Callithrix jacchus: one gene and its partners. The protein of the gene in region 1 interacts with the protein of each later gene in a biochemical or structural test. Links are inferred from orthologs where the notes say so. Each region holds a gene or a part of one and is shown on either strand. Other genes may lie near its edges.

Evidence for each region. The genes of interacting proteins can lie anywhere in the genome.
Region 2: the proteins of CSTA (region 1) and CTSB form a complex in vitro, tested with the Homo sapiens proteins (3 studies listed by BioGRID and IntAct, with this or other methods). The link is inferred for Callithrix jacchus from reciprocal best matches to the Homo sapiens genes CSTA and CTSB.
Region 3: the proteins of CSTA (region 1) and CTSL form a complex in vitro, tested with the Homo sapiens proteins (2 studies listed by BioGRID). The link is inferred for Callithrix jacchus from reciprocal best matches to the Homo sapiens genes CSTA and CTSL.

The regions. Positions count from the first base shown.
Region 1 is NC_133516.1:80,680,182-80,685,934, forward strand, and holds the start of CSTA (cystatin-A), read right to left. Parts: upstream 3,883-5,753; 5' UTR 3,834-3,882; coding exon 3,768-3,833; intron 1-3,767. UniProt on the Homo sapiens protein: This is an intracellular thiol proteinase inhibitor. Has an important role in desmosome-mediated cell-cell adhesion in the lower levels of the epidermis.
Region 2 is NC_133514.1:10,220,272-10,225,303, reverse strand, and holds the end of CTSB (cathepsin B), read right to left. Parts: intron 4,950-5,032; coding exon 4,806-4,949; intron 4,376-4,805; coding exon 4,259-4,375; intron 2,765-4,258; coding exon 2,636-2,764; intron 2,341-2,635; coding exon 2,243-2,340; 3' UTR 369-2,242; downstream 1-368. UniProt on the Homo sapiens protein: Thiol protease which is believed to participate in intracellular degradation and turnover of proteins. Cleaves matrix extracellular phosphoglycoprotein MEPE. Involved in the solubilization of cross-linked TG/thyroglobulin in the thyroid follicle lumen.
Region 3 is NC_133502.1:75,731,741-75,736,346, forward strand, and holds the end of CTSL (procathepsin L), read right to left. Parts: intron 4,406-4,606; coding exon 4,283-4,405; intron 4,182-4,282; coding exon 4,035-4,181; intron 3,853-4,034; coding exon 3,628-3,852; intron 2,881-3,627; coding exon 2,718-2,880; intron 2,065-2,717; coding exon 1,947-2,064; intron 1,452-1,946; coding exon 1,352-1,451; 3' UTR 1,072-1,351; downstream 1-1,071. UniProt on the Homo sapiens protein: Thiol protease important for the overall degradation of proteins in lysosomes. Plays a critical for normal cellular functions such as general protein turnover, antigen processing and bone remodeling.

The DNA of each region.
Region 1 (5,753 bases):
GGGGCTTAAAAACCCACACAGGAGGGTGGGAGCTGAACTGCCACACAGTAATTATTCACCTGAAGGGAAGGAGGCTTCACCAGCAACCTCTAACATCTTTTCTGGTCTAAAAGCTATGATTGTAAAAAAGTACTCTGGAGGGGCGAGGTGGCTCACGCCTGTAATCCCAGCACTTTGGGAGGCTCAGGCGGGTGGATAATGAGGTCAGAAGATGGAGACCAACCCGGCTAACACAGTGAAACCCCATCTCTACTAAAAATACAAAAAATTAGCAAGGCATGGTGATACATGCCTGTAGTCCCAGCTACTCAGGAGGCTGAGGCAGGAAGATCACTTGAACCCAGGAGGAAGAGGTTGCACTTAGCCGAGATTTTGCCACTGTACTCCAGCCTGGGTGACAGAGAGAGACTCCGTCTCACACACTCAAAAAAAAAATACTCACTTGAATATTTTTTCTATTATGTTCCAGATATCTCAGTTTTCCCGACTACCCTGTAAAACTCTTAGAGGCCAGGGGCCATATCTTACAGCCCTTATGTAGCTTCCATAATAATTAGCATAATGTTAGACACTTAAGAGACTTACAAGAAATGCACCTACCGTGAAATGATTCATTGGTATTCATTTCCTATATTTATTTATTTATTTATTTTGAGACAGAGTATTGCTTTGTTGGCCAGGCTGGAGTGCAGTGACGTGGTCACGGCTCACTGCATCCTCAACTTCCTGGGTGCAAGTGGTCCTTCTGCCTAAGCCTCCCAAGTAGCTGGGACTACAGGCGTGTACCACTGGCTATTTTTTTGTATTTTGTGTTTGGGTAGAGATGGGATTTTGTCATGATGCCCTTAAACTCCCCAGATCAAGCAATCTGTCCGCCTCAGCCTCCTAAAATGCCTAGGTTACAGCCATGAGCCACCGCACCCAGCTCTCTAATGACTTCAAAATTTTTTAATTTTTTGAGATGGAGTCTCGCTCTGTCATCCAGGCTAAAGTGCAGTGGCACGATCTTGGCTCACTGCAACTTCTGCCTCCCAGGCTCAAGCGATTCTCCTGCCTTAGCCTCCCAAGTAGCTGGGATTACAGGTGCCTGCCACCATGTCCAGCTAATTTTTGTATTATTAGTAGAGACAGGTTTTGCCATGTTGGCCAGGCTGATTTCTAACTCCTGACCTCACGTGATCCACCCGCCTTGGCTTCCTATGTTGACTTACATGTGAGGCTGGTGCTTCTACAGAGAAGACAAACTTACCACACTCTCTCCACTCACTTCTACAGAGAAGACAAACTTACCACACTCTCTCCACTCAGCGTATTTCCCTTTCCTAACTAATTTCCTCTGTGTTCTGCCACTGTGTGGTGGAGAGGGCAGGCCGTCAAACACTGAGGGTGAGTTAACTTCTTAACTAGGTGACTCTTAATCTCTTTGAATCTTGGTTTCATCATCTATAAGATAGACATAATACTTCCCTGCCTGTCCCAGGGGCTATGAAGATCAAATGAGACTTTGAATGGAGGTCAGATCAAGTTTTTAAAACTGCAAAGCCTCTTTCTGGGGCGAGGGAGCTGTTGTTAATACTTATCTCTCATTCCACCTCTCTGATGAAGTTGGAGTTCAAGGGAAGCAGCCCACATCTACACACACTTTCAAATTAATTTTATAATTTAAGATGAGACTCACAGATAGGTGTTTTTTTTTTTAGGCACTTCAGTAACTAAGAACAAATCATACAGATAGGTGTTATTAACAACGCAAGGCCTTCTGGTAGCTTCTTATTTTAAAAATAAATAGTTCTTGCTAATCAAGTGATAGGCTTTTAAAAATCATTAAAAATTTCTGCACTCTCTCTATTTCAAATTTATTTTTCTGTATCTTCCTACAGCTCTGATTCTTAGAGAGTCTCAGGGGGGCTTTTTTAGGGTCGGAGATGATTTTAGCCACAAATCTGAAGTAAACAATTGTGTTGCCTCACCTATGCACATTTCTTTTTCATTTTCAAGTCCTTTTTATGCACATTATCTCAGTCCTTTCAGCTCTGAAATTGATGGTGTTACCTTCATTTTTCAAATGAAATAGCCAGGTTTTATTTTTGGCAACCTGACTTTTAAAGCCCCGTCTCTTACTGGCCTCATAGGATGCCATATATCTCTGGTCCTGCAGGCAAGTGAGGTCATGGAGAGCAGCAGCAGCAGCAGCAATTGGGAGCCTGGTAGAAATGCAGAATCTCAGACCTACCCCAGGCCCCCTGAATCAGGTTTATCAAGACTTGCAAGTGATTCATGTGCACCTTCAAGTTTGAGAACATTGATCTGATAGGGGAATTCACATGAAGGAATTACTGACTTAATATCATCTTCTCCCAGAAAGAAAAATCTTCAGGATATTTATTCATTAAAAGAAAAAAAGAACTCTTGAAATAGAAATAATTAGTCCCTAAGAATGAGTGATGGGATTCTAGGCATCTGGCCCCTTAGAGAGCTTTCTAGTTTCCCGAATATACAAGAGCCCAACTCTTATAATCACACAAAAAGCTGATCTTGTTTGCCAAGCTGTCATAGAATGATGTTTCAGAGAGAAAAAACAAGAATAATACTATTAAGTAGTCTCTACACCTTCTTAGAATTTTGCCAATTATCCTGAAAATGTCCTTTTTTCTGACACAAGAAAATATGGCAACAAACTAAAAAGCTAAAATAATAATTTGTACATGTTTTTCTTTCACAAAATATGCAAATAAATGTTTACTATATAGATGATATCTAATCAAACAGCACTTAGAAAAATATATCAGGACTGGGTGTGGTGGCTCATACCTGTAATCACAATATTTTGGGAAGCTTAGGTGAGCAGATGGCTTGAGCCCGGGAATTCAAGACCAGTCTAGGCAACAAAATAAAACTCCATCTCCAAAAACAAAACAAAACTAATCCCCAAAATCAGCCAAGTGTAGTGGCATGTGTCTGTAATCCAGCTACTCATGAGGCTGAGTGGGGAGGATTGCTTGAGCTCGAGAAGTTGAGGTTACAGCGAGCTGTGATCACACTATTGCACTCCAGCCTGGATGACAGAGTGAGACCCCGTCTCTTAAAAACAAAGCAAAACAAAACAGAAGGAAATAAAAATGTATCAATCTGCTAACAACATTGAGTTCTATTTTTCCATATATAATTTGGCAGCCTATGATACTTTGGAGTCACTAGAGACTGTCACTTCTCTTCTCCATTTGTTTAATCATCCTTTAACTATGAAAAGACTAAAACAGTGTCTATTTAAGCAAACGTGTATGAAGTTTGTAAGTAGATTGCCTTTACAATGTTATTCTTCATTCAATCGATTTTTAAAAAATTCCCCGCAGTGGGTTCCAAGTCTACTTAATCAAATTATTAACAACCTTAGTCTTCAATTACACGTTGGCTTCACTTGGTGAGATTAGAAAAGTTTCATCAGAAACTGAATTAGTAATCCTAGAATCATATCTTGTAAGAGCTTTAAAGATGATACAATACAAATTATTCTTTTACAAATGGAGAAAATGAAGCTCAGAGAAGAAATGTGATTTGCTCAAGGTCACACTCACAGTTTGGGGGTTATTTGAGGTTTCATCTGAAAAGAAGAAACAACTTTATTTCATCATAGTTGAAAAGAAACCTGAACAAAGCCATACACATCCTGAAGTTCTGGTTTTCATGTTCAACCACATCCTTTCCACAGTGACAACCTATGAATCAAGATTTCAGCTCAGACTTTTTCCTGAATGGAATCAACTCACCTTATCAACAATCTCCTGAATTTCTGGAGTGGCGGGTTTGGCCTCAGATAAGCCTCCGGGTATCATTTTGACTGACTGCTTCTTTGCTAGGCAGAATGTTGGAACCAAAGTGAACAGGGAAGCATGGAGACTTGGGTTTTAAAAGAGGTGTTCATTAGCTCCGCCTATAAAATGCTTTATTTTCCACAGAGAGCAAAGAGGCATGGGGAAAATGAGTATGCCTCCAAGCAAATCTTCTTGCTTCCTGGACAGAATATGCTACGTGGAATTTGGAGGAAAGAGGGTTGATGGATGAACAAATGGGCAAGTACAGGAGTCAAGTCCTAACAAGATGAAACGCCCCTGCCTTCTCTTTGACAATGGTTCCATCCTGTTGCATCATCTGAACTATGAAATCTGAAGCCACAACCAGAATTTCCAAATGTTTTAAAACTTGTAGCACAATTTTTTAAAAGCAATACTTACTAATAATGTCAGAGTAGTTTAGAATTTCCTTGACTTTAGAAATAGAGCAAAAGGTTCTATCTGGAGGACATTGGTTGGATATGTGTTCTTTACTCTTATTTAAATATCTAGAAATGCTTAACATACAGAAAAACACAAAGAAGAAAATGACAAATGTCTGTATTCCTGTCACTCAGAGTTAAAACTTTGAACCTTTTTGTCATATTTACTTGCTGTCTTTTATTTTGGTAGTTATTTTTAAGAAATAAAATATTTCAGTTATGGAGGAAGCCCTGTACCCCACGCAACCTTGCTCTCCAGAGGGCAAATTGCACTGTGAGTTGATATCCTTCCAGGCCATTTTTATACTTTACTTGTTGTGTCTTTAAAATTTCTCTTAAATTGTATGCTAAACATATTCTATTTATGGTTTTTTTTCTATTCAACATGTTTTTGAGCCTTTTCATGTTGATACACAGATAGATAATCTACAGATAAATCAATCCAGTTCATTTCCTTTAACTGTGATATGCGATTCTGTGCTAGACCTAGCTATTTATTGTACCTGTCTAATTGGTCTTCGCTAGCTCATATTTTACATACTCATTTCCCTATTGATGACGATTTTGGTTGTTTCTCGTGTTTCATTCTTATAAACAATGTTGCATGTTTTCCCCTTTTGTATGTGAGGGCTTCTGCAGGCAACTTATCTAGAAGCAAAATTGCCATGTTGTGTGAATATTTATGTATATAATTTTATTCAATTTTGGGAATATATAATACATACACAGGATAAAAATGTTTGGAAGGAACCAGGCTTTACAATGTAAGGAATTATTCACTCACTTAATTCCCCAGACACCCTTCTCCTCTCCAGAGTCAACTGTTGGGACCAGCTTTTTGTGTATTCTTCAGAGATATTCTTTACACATAGAAATATAAAAATAATTGGCTACACACACATACATACACATACATGTATATAGGTTTTCTTCTATACAAATGCTATTCTACATAAACGATTATACTATTTGTTTTATTCCTAACACTATATTTTAGAGATTGTTCTATATCATGATACAGAGATTTGTTTCTTTTGTTTTTTCTGAGACAGAGTCTTGCTCTGTTACCCAGGCTGTAGTGTAGTGGTGTGATCTTGGCTCACTGCAACCTCTGCATCCTGGGTTCAGGCAATTCTCCTGCCTCAGCTTCCCAGGTAGCTGGGATTACAGGCACCTGCCACCAAGCCCGGCTAATTTTTGTATATTTTTAAGTAGACACGGGCTTTCACCATATTGCCCAAGCTGGTCTCAAGCTCCTGACCTTAGGTGATCCGCCCCCCTTGTCCTCCCAAAGTGCAGGATTACAGGTGTGAGCCACTGCGCCCAGCCGCTTGTTTCTTCGTAATGATGTTTGACAGGCACTTGGCAAATTCTTGAAGCTGGGTGAGTGTCTTATAGGCTAAACTGAGGGGCGTTACATAGGTATCTCTCCACTGAATGCCTTTACCCTGTGGTTTAAGAAGAACAGTGAACGTGGCTG
Region 2 (5,032 bases), on another chromosome or scaffold:
GAGGTTGCAGTGAGCCAAAACTGCGCCACTGCACTCCAGCCTGGGTGACACAGTGAGACTTGGATTGCCTATCTATACTTCGATTTCCATTCTGGAGTGTGTCAAAGCAGCCTTTCTATGGGTAAACACTGAAAAGGTATTGTTACCTCCACCTGTCATGTTACTGGGGTAATCTGAGGTGTACTGAAGCACTGAGCTGTGTCCCAGACAGACACTGCAAGGCAGGTTTTTCTGACAGCCCTAAGCTGAGGTTGAAATGCCCCACAGTTCCTTCTGTCACTTCACTAGCTCCAGGCAGGGATGGAGTTGCAGGTGCGTACTCGATGGAGGTGAGGGAGGCAGTGTGAGTGGAATGATTCAACCCAATCTGGGAGCAGGTAGAACTTTATTGAGGTTATGAATATATTCTAGGAGAAGCTGGAAGAATAAGCGGTTATGAATCTGCGGCTCTGGTAACCCTTGTTAAGCATCTCTCAAGTGCCGTGATGGGCCTCACAACTGTTCCCTGCAATGTTTCTCAGAGTTTCAGAGCTTATTTGATTGAGCTTCTGATTCCTAACTTCTGGGTCACATCAGAAGCAAAACTTGAATGCTTTTGGAAAGAGCTAGCCCCATCCAGCCTCAGTAGGGAAGGGTGATACTGAGGTGTATCTTGACAGGACAGTAGAGTGACCGCTGGTTCTTCGAGATTCCTCTACTCTTGCAAGAACTGGTGTAAAACGATTCTAAACCAGGCCTATGCAGAGCACGAGACTTCTTGACCAGCAATGCAAACCAGTGGCATACAGATTCAAAATACTGTGTACAGGCTGACTCGGCCCCTCTGGAAGGCATCTGGGGGATGTGGCCCTCCACGGGATGGCATCTTGGTTATGTGAGATCACCAAGATACCAGGCCTGTTTCATGAGAATTCTCAGGTCACTGCTGGATTTGTGGCTAATAAAAAATAGAGGCCAGGCACGGTGGCTCACCCTGTAATCCCAGCACTTTGGGAAGCTGAGATGGGTGGACCAGCTTGAGGCCAGGAGTTTGAAATTGGCCTGGCCAACATGGTCAAACCTTGTATATACTTAAAAATATAAAAATTAGTTTGGCATGGTGGTGGGTACCTGTAATCCCAGCTACTCGGGAGTTTGAAGCAGGAGAATAGCTAGAACCTAGGCGGTGCAGGTTTCAGTTAGCTGAATTTGCACCACTGCACTCCATCGCCGATGACAAAGTGAGATTCTGTCTCAAAAAAAAAAAAAAAACCACCACCACAGCTCTGTAGTTAGTTCTTAAGGGCAAGCTCATCAAGGACTTACACAGATGGTTGATGGGGATGCAGTGGGAAGTTAAGCTGAGGTCCCAAGAATCCTGAGGGCATGCAGTCCCTGGGTGTGATTCTCTGCAGGGCTGAGGATGGCAGTGACAAATGACCTCTGAGATGCCATCAGAGCCGACTTTGAGTTGAAGGACAAACCTTTTATTGGCACAGGCATTCCTTAACTTGACAGCGTGAAGCAGGAATTTTTGAAAAACAGTAAAAGCTGGTTTCTCCTACACTAGTTTCATGGTGGTAGTAGAGATCAGGGTCGGAAGCAAGTCACAGCCACTAGGTTTCGTTCTGAGCCATGCTGTTAGGAGGCAATCTGTAAACTAGCACGGCCTCCCACTGTTGCACTCCTTTATCCGCGTGACCAGCAGTGTGCACGAAAAAGAAAACTATTAAAAAAGAATCATGCTGAGGCCAAGATCAGAGTTTCTGACACTGCAAACCTCGACAGATGCAGGGGCCCTGGGAGAATGTGGCTTCTCCACAGGGCTCCAAACACCATCTGTCCTCTGATCTTGGAGCAAATGTAGAAAGCTACTTGCTTAGAGGTACTGCTGAGGGGGGAACTTGAATCCTGATAGGAACTCTGCTTTCTATTCCTGAGCCTCCGTCTTGCTCCTGGAGATGGATGGATCAGGGATGGGGCAGCAGGCACTCCCTACAGCACTAGTCATGGGGAAAGGAGCTCCGTGCTGGCAGCAGTGGCTCACGTGGCTTAACTGTCTACACTGCAGCCATCAGTCCACTGAGCAGGCTCGGAGGTAGCCGGGAGTCTCCTTGGAAAACAGCTCTGATGGTTGATATGAGGTTTGGCCAGTCCAGTTCTTTAGGCCCTGTATCTTACAGGGACGCAAAGATTAAGACATTTCTACCCCCATCCCTGACTCTGTGCAGGGAAAACTACCCCAGGACAGGACCACAGCAGATTAGATATTTCTCCAGTACTGATCGGTGCGTGGAATTCCAGCCACCACTTCTGATTCGATTCCACAGTGATCCTGTCCTCTGAGGATTTTAAAGAAGCCTGGGAATAAAAAAAGGTGCTTTTAAAATGTGACAAGGGTCGGTATATTCAGACTCATCCCTAAAAAAGCTGGGAGTAAGTCTCTAACCCCCGACAGCTCCTGCTGTTTGCTCAGTAGCGCGGCCCTCACACCATGGGGCACACCTCCGCCCGCATCACCCTTCCCATCCTGGCCTCTGGCATTTAGAAGGAGCTCACAGCCTGGCCTAGGTCCACAGTTTGAGGCTGTGCAGCAGGTAGAACAGAGAAAGCCAAGATGGCCACTGCGTGTGGCTCCCAGTTCCCCACCACTCACCGTTGTCACCCCAGTCAGTGTTCCAGGAGTTGCCAACCAGCCAGTAGGGCGTGCCATTCTCCACGCCCCAGCCCAGGATGCGGATGGCGTGGCCGCCCATCATCTCGCCAGTGACATGCTGGTATACTCCTGAGTTGGGAAGAACCGGTCAGAAGTGAGACCCGGCCACTGCCCCGTGCCCCACAGCACCCCTCCGGGCAGGAGAAACTAAGGGCTTGTCAAAAGGGTTACATGGCTTAAAGAGTTTTAAGGCCGGGTGCAGAGGGTCATGCCTGTAATCCCAGCACTTTGGGAGGCTGAGGCGGGTGGATCAGGAGTTCTAGACCAGCCTGACCAACATGGTGAAACGCTGTCTCTACTAAAAATCAAAAATTAGCTGGGCATGGTGGTGCCCACCTGTAGTCCCAGCTACTCAAGAGGCAGAGGTTGCAATGAGCTGAGATCATACCACTGCACCCCAGCCTGGGCGCTAAGTTTTAAAATAGCTGCTCTGGGTACACCCTGGAGAGGTGACAGAGGAGAAAAGGGAGGGCTGGTGGTGGCCAATATTAGATGGGAAAGAGGCCAGCTAAGATGCTCAGCGCTGCCCAACCAGGTTCGCCCCAGCAGGGAAATCACTGTCAAATAGAAACGCATTTTTTAACAATATGGGCGAGGACTGTGCTAAGAACCACCATCTTTAGTCATTTTTTTCTTGCCAGAATCATTTTCCTTTGTCAAACTGTTTTATAAGAGCTGAGAGCTCTGGAGTTTCCAATCTAGCAAAATATTAATGAGACTCAGCAAAGACTGCTTCTGCAGCAAGATATTTGTTTGAGATGGAGTCCTGCTCTGTTGCCCAGGCTGGGGTGCAGTGGCCTGATTTCAGTTCACTGTAACCTCCGCCTCCTGGGTTCAAGCAATTCCCCAGCCTTAGCCACCTGAGTAGTGACTAGCTGGGACTACAGGTGCACACCACCATGCCTAGCTCATTTTTTGTATTTTAGTAGAGATGGGGTTTCACCATGTTGGCCGGGATGGTCTTGATCTCACGACCTCATGATCTGCCCATCTCAGCCACCCAAAGTGTGGGGTTACAGGCACGACCCACCGTGCCCAGCCTACTGGAGGAGAGATTTCTAAGACAGTACTTGGGGGTAAAGACTATCCAGTTTCCTTCGTTCGAGTCCCTATGGCACTGCCCAGGGCAAGGTCCTCCCTGTGTGTTCATGCACGAGGGTGACACATGATCTACACCTTTGCAAAGACACAGATGAATAAAGTGTGTCACCCAGTGCAGACAAGGAAGACCTGCCCTTATAAGGAGAACATGCTGGGAAAGAATGGAACGCCATGACGGCAAGGGCAGGTGTGGCCAGCCGCCAGCGAGGGGACACCTCCACAGAGAAGACATGTGAGCTGGCTCCTAAGGGATGGGAAAGAACTAGCCAAGATGCCTCCAGAATTCTCTGTGCACAACACAGATGAAAGGCAAGTGGCACAGAAGGTAGACAGAATTGTAAGGGCCCCACACAGCCCTCTCCCCAGCCCCTCACCTGCCTGCCCCGATCAAGTCCTACTGGCCTACCTGAACCCACCTCCCCTGACCCCCACCCACCGCTGCTGTCGGACATCAGCACGCACCTGACTTGTACAGCAGGAAGTCTGCGTACACAGAGAAGGCTCCCTCCACAGGGCCGTTTTTGTAGATCTCGGCCATGATGTCCCTCTCATTGTTTGAGACGCTGTAGGAATCGTATCCTGGAAAATGGACCGAGCCAGGGGTTGGGGAGCGCAGTGACAGTGCCTCCTGCCGCGCCACTCACTGATTCCTGGGGGGCCTCTAGGGGAAGACTGCATCAAAGGGACCTGCCCACCCAGGGGGTTCATTGCAGGCTCCCCAGAGGAAGTAAGGAAGAGGCTAAGGCTGGAAGCTCAGGAGGAAGAGGGGAGCCGTGAGCACGAGGCCCCAGAACAGGCCAAGGTACCCAGGACTCCAGGACATGCCTTCTCTTATAAAATGACAGCTTTGGTCCCTTCCAGGTTGGGAGGGTGGAGGCTGAGTTCACAGTGGATCAGGCAGAAGGTGCACTGTGTGCTGCTGAATCACCCCCGCTGCCGTCTCCATCCTAGGGCTCTTGGGCCCTGCCCTCTTCCCCGCAGCGGCTCCCAGGCTGTTCCCGCCCCTTACCGTAGTGCTTGTCCTGCTTGTAGGTTGGGCTGTAGCCAGGCTCGCAGCTCTTGCTACACTTGGGGGTGTCGCCCTCCCCCGTGCATGGGGGCCGGGAGCCGTTGACGTGGTGCTCACAGGGAGGGATGGAGTAGGGTCTGCACCCTAAGGGGACCCAGAGAAAGCAGAGTCAGCCAACAACCCCCACCAAGAAGCCCCACCGGGCCTGGCAAGGCCAGCCAGGTGCC
Region 3 (4,606 bases), on another chromosome or scaffold:
AAATTCTAGTTGTCTCAAATCTAAGCTTCAACCTGAACGAGGGATTTAGCTTGGGAACCTCCCTAAATCTTCTTGCTACCACTGGTGACTTTTATTACAAAACCCAAAGAATTTCACAGATGCCATATTTGTCATTTTAGGCCAAAAACTTTGAAATTTTAGCAACTACTCAGAAAGGGCACATGAGAATCCAGCATGGCACATGGTCCAATCCAGACAGAACTGGACAGACCCTGCTGCATGCTTTCTGAGCTGAGACTCCACTGGGCATCTGGTTTCCCTCCTCTGGGATTACGTAGTCTAGTCACTAAACAGTCTCACCTGTTCTTTCTATTTCCTTCAGTTGGAACATGAGACTTCTGAAAACACACAGGTGATGGAAGTATGGGCTGTTTAGCTAGTACAATGTGGGAAGTTTTTTTATTTAAGCAGTAATTCAGGTGTTTACAGGTAATTTGCTCTAAATGGGGGACAGATGATCATTTCTGAGCCTCTCACCTGTCTTTTGCCTTCTGACACCAGAGCACCATTTCTGAATCCCAGCCTGAAATCCTGAAGTTTATTCCTCATCCCTTGAGGACCCAAAAACAAACAGCCTTGGCAATGCACTCGTTCCTAACCCAACTCGACTGCAAAGTGTCAACAGGGTCTTCACCAGCAGTGGGATAAGATGATCCAGAAATAGGCTCTGAGACCTTTGTCCTGTAACTTGACTAAAGATGCAACCAACTTGGGTGAAATAAACACAATCACTAAGGTCTTTTTCTAGTATTAAAATCATATATATGTCTGTTCACCTTTCTAAAAAGTGAATTTTTTTCTTTATTCAAACAATTTTCCTTTGTCCTCAGAGATCATTTTCAAATTTTGCTCCAATCAACGATTGAGTCAGACTCAGACACAGCCACTGGGCAGCTGATGTGAGATCTGTACGTTTGTAATTAGAAGACCCAGAAGGTCGCCCACTCTTCCTCCTAGAGAGCCACTGGCAGCAGGTAGGGCTTACAGCCTAATTATGTTTTTTATTACACAAAAATTCAGTGCATCAAAAATAGAAAGAAGCCTTGCCACTACATTTGAAATTACATTTATTTAATCAGGTAAAAATTTACACATCCTTTTAAAAACAAAAATGCAAAGTCAGTAAGCAAATCAATAATATAAACCTATTTATAGAGTAATTAAAATAGAGGTAACATTTACCAGTGTGAAAATATCACAGAATTCAAATCACACTTGGATCTTCAATGATTCGAGTGTGTATCCATCACAGCAGGGGCTGGAAGATTGAGATGAACTCCCATGCATGCACCATCCCCAGTCAAGTCCTTCCTCATCACTGTCCATCAGCTCATACAGTGGGGTAGCTGGCTGCTGAGGCAATTCCACAGTGGTTTTTCCGGTCTTTGGCCATCTTTATGTAACCATCCATGCCCCATTTTTCACCCCAGCTGAAAAAACAGCAGGTTTTCCGTGTCAGAGAAAGAATAAAGCCCAAAGGGTTATTAACAGGAACATCCAACTTAAACACTGTGCCAGAGGCCACAGACTTAACAGAAAGAATCAAGAGAGGCCATGTTCCTGTTTATCCTTAAAAAATTATTGAGGCTGAATCTGCACATAACTTCCATCCCAGTCTCAAAACTATGACATTTCACAGAACTGCCAATCAGAGACAGGAAAGGAATAGGATGTCTTTGCAGCCAGATATGCCTCAGAATTAAGAAAATGTTCAGATTTAGATACACATTTGTACAATGGTACAAATACTATATTAATACACCCAGCATCCTTACCTTTATAATCCAACATTAACATTCTATGTTCAACTTAGAGTTCTGGGATTTCAGAAGTATGCCTAAGGGCATGTGAAACTATACAAACACTGATTGCAAATAAGTACTCTCTTTTGAATTTCAAATATAAGTATTATTGGCAATTTATACCTGTTCTTCACCAGCCAATATTTACTGTTATCTGATCCTGTTCTTTCAAATCCATAGCCAACCACCAGCACACCATGATCCATGTCTTCACTGCTACATTCTGGCTCAAAATAAATGCCTGGGATAGTAAAATGAAGGCTGGGGTGAGAAGCTGCAGAGGACCATGACAGTAACCCATCCTGTCACCCACAGGGAATGAGGCATCTCTGAATTCAGTGAAGTGACACACATTCTAGATAGTACTTAACAATTAGATCTATTGTTGTCAAGGCTAGGGATTTAGGCTCTCATCTACAACTAGCAGAAATAGAAATCAACATAAATCCTTCATATAAAGACTTTGCTAAGGGAATAAAGGACCATTCTTTGAAAGCTTGTAATTCTACTCTAGGCTATCAATCTAAAAACACAGCATAGAACACCAAAATCCTTGAATCAAAAGGCTCTTCTCGGATTTAAAAACAGAAGTAAAATCTTTGTAAAAATTACAAAAATTCGACAATCACAGAATATTTAAGTATATTAAACTACCCAGTAAATAATATAGCTGGGTATTTGTAATTTATAAAAAGTTACAAAGTACTTATATTCATGGAGATGTGTTCAACATGTCAAATGGAAACATCAGGTATAAATACTGCATGTACAGAATTAATAGCTATGATGCTAAGCACCTAAGTATCTACATTGAACTTTACAAACCAGAGTCTATCATGCTAGTATGTCATACTCTCTTTCTGCATCAATTTCTACAAAGAAAAAAATACTTACCTTCTTTATAAAACTGGAAGGACTCGTGACCTGCATCAATAGCAACAGAAATGGGCCCCACAGTTGCAACTGCCTTCATCAGGGCCTTCTCCAGCTTAGGGATGTCCACAAAGCCAGTGTCATTAGCAACAGAATACTCGGGATTGTACTTACAGGATTCTTCCTTTCAAAGATAAAGGGCAAAAAGGACTTGATTACTGCTCTCCTGGGCAACAGGAGTTAGAACCACAACACTCAGCAGTTTGCAGCTTAGGATTTCCAAGTCACCATTGTTATAAATCATCCCAGGGCGTGAAATGCTGTTAGTTAATTTGAAACTGAAAATTGGCTCCAGTCTCTTCCATGAGACCCCAGGTTTATTACCATAAGAAATTTTTCACAATAAAGAAATGTGTAGATGTAGAATGGTTTGTATACTCTTCATATTACATAGAAGCAAGAACAGTTGTCTGTTAACCATCTAATCACCGGACTGCACAAAGGCTTAATAATTTATAATGACAGTACTGACAATTTGCAGATAGATTCTACCATCTGTGAATTTTTTTTTTCCCTCTTTTTTTTTGAGACAGGGTCTCACTCTGTCACTCAGACAGGAGTGCATTTGCATAACCACCTCCCAGGCTTAAGCAATCCTCCTACCTCAGCCTAGCTGGTACCACAGATGCACATCACCCCAGACGGCTAATTTTATTATTTTTGATAGAGTCAGGGTTTTACCTTGTTGCCTAGGCTGGTCCTGAGCTCAAGCGATCTGCCCGGCTCAGCCTCCTAAAGTGCTGGGATTACAGGTGTGAGCCACCCCATCCAGCCCTAATATATTAATTCTGAAAAAGGTATCTGTTATCTCTGAAAGTGTTCCACTTTCCAGAAGCTGAGCTGGAATGATAAGATGAAGAGCTCCACTTACTGTTGCCTCATATGGATAGGATTCCTCAGAGTCCAGGCCTCCGTTCTCCTGAACATACTGGAAGGCATAATCCATTAGGCCACCATCGCAGCCCTGATTGCCTTGAGGCCCAGAGCAGTCTACCAGATTCTGTTCACTCAGTGAGACAAGTTTCCCAGTTTTCCGGAACATCTGTCCTTCAAGAGCACCAGTCGCGCTAAAAGCCCAACAAGAACCACACTGACCCTAAAGAGGAAATTTAAAAAGCTGTCATTTGCAAAAACAAATAGTAAGACTTTACAGCTCACATATCTGAATACTCTTAAAAAGTGAACTGCACATCGCTTTAAAGTCTACCAAAACAAAGATGTCAATCGCTTCTTGGCTTTCCTGGGAAGATGGGAGGTCTGAACCTAACACTGTCTCACCTGATTCTTCACAGGAGTCACGTAGCCTTTCTCTCTCCAATCCACAGATCTGGGGGCCTCATGAAACAGAGGTTCCTGGAACACCTTCCCGTTCCTGGGCTTACGGTTTTGAAAGCCATTCATCACCTGCCTGAATTCTTCATTGGTCTTCAAGGAAAAGTAAACAAAATGTTGCAGAGCAAGAGATTACTTTGGTACAAAAGGGAGGAGGGGAAGCACAGGAGTTCAGCAGTCCACAGCACACTCACCATGTCTCCAAAGGCGTTCATGGCCATTGTGAAGCTGTGTTTCCCTTGGTTGTATTCATGATTGTGCAGTTCAATCATCTTCATGTTCTTCTCCCACACTGCTCTCCTCCATTCTTCTTCATTCTAGAGGAAAATATGTAACTGATGCTCTTTATAACTACCTGAAACCCAACTCATGCTCACCAAGTGAATCTGCAGACAGAGATGGAAGAGAAACCATGGCAAGGGAAGGCCTGACACCTCTGGGAGCTGCTGTTCTCCAAACTGAGACACACAGGGATGAATGCCCACGTTGTGCTCATAATCAGTGCCCTTAGGGTATTA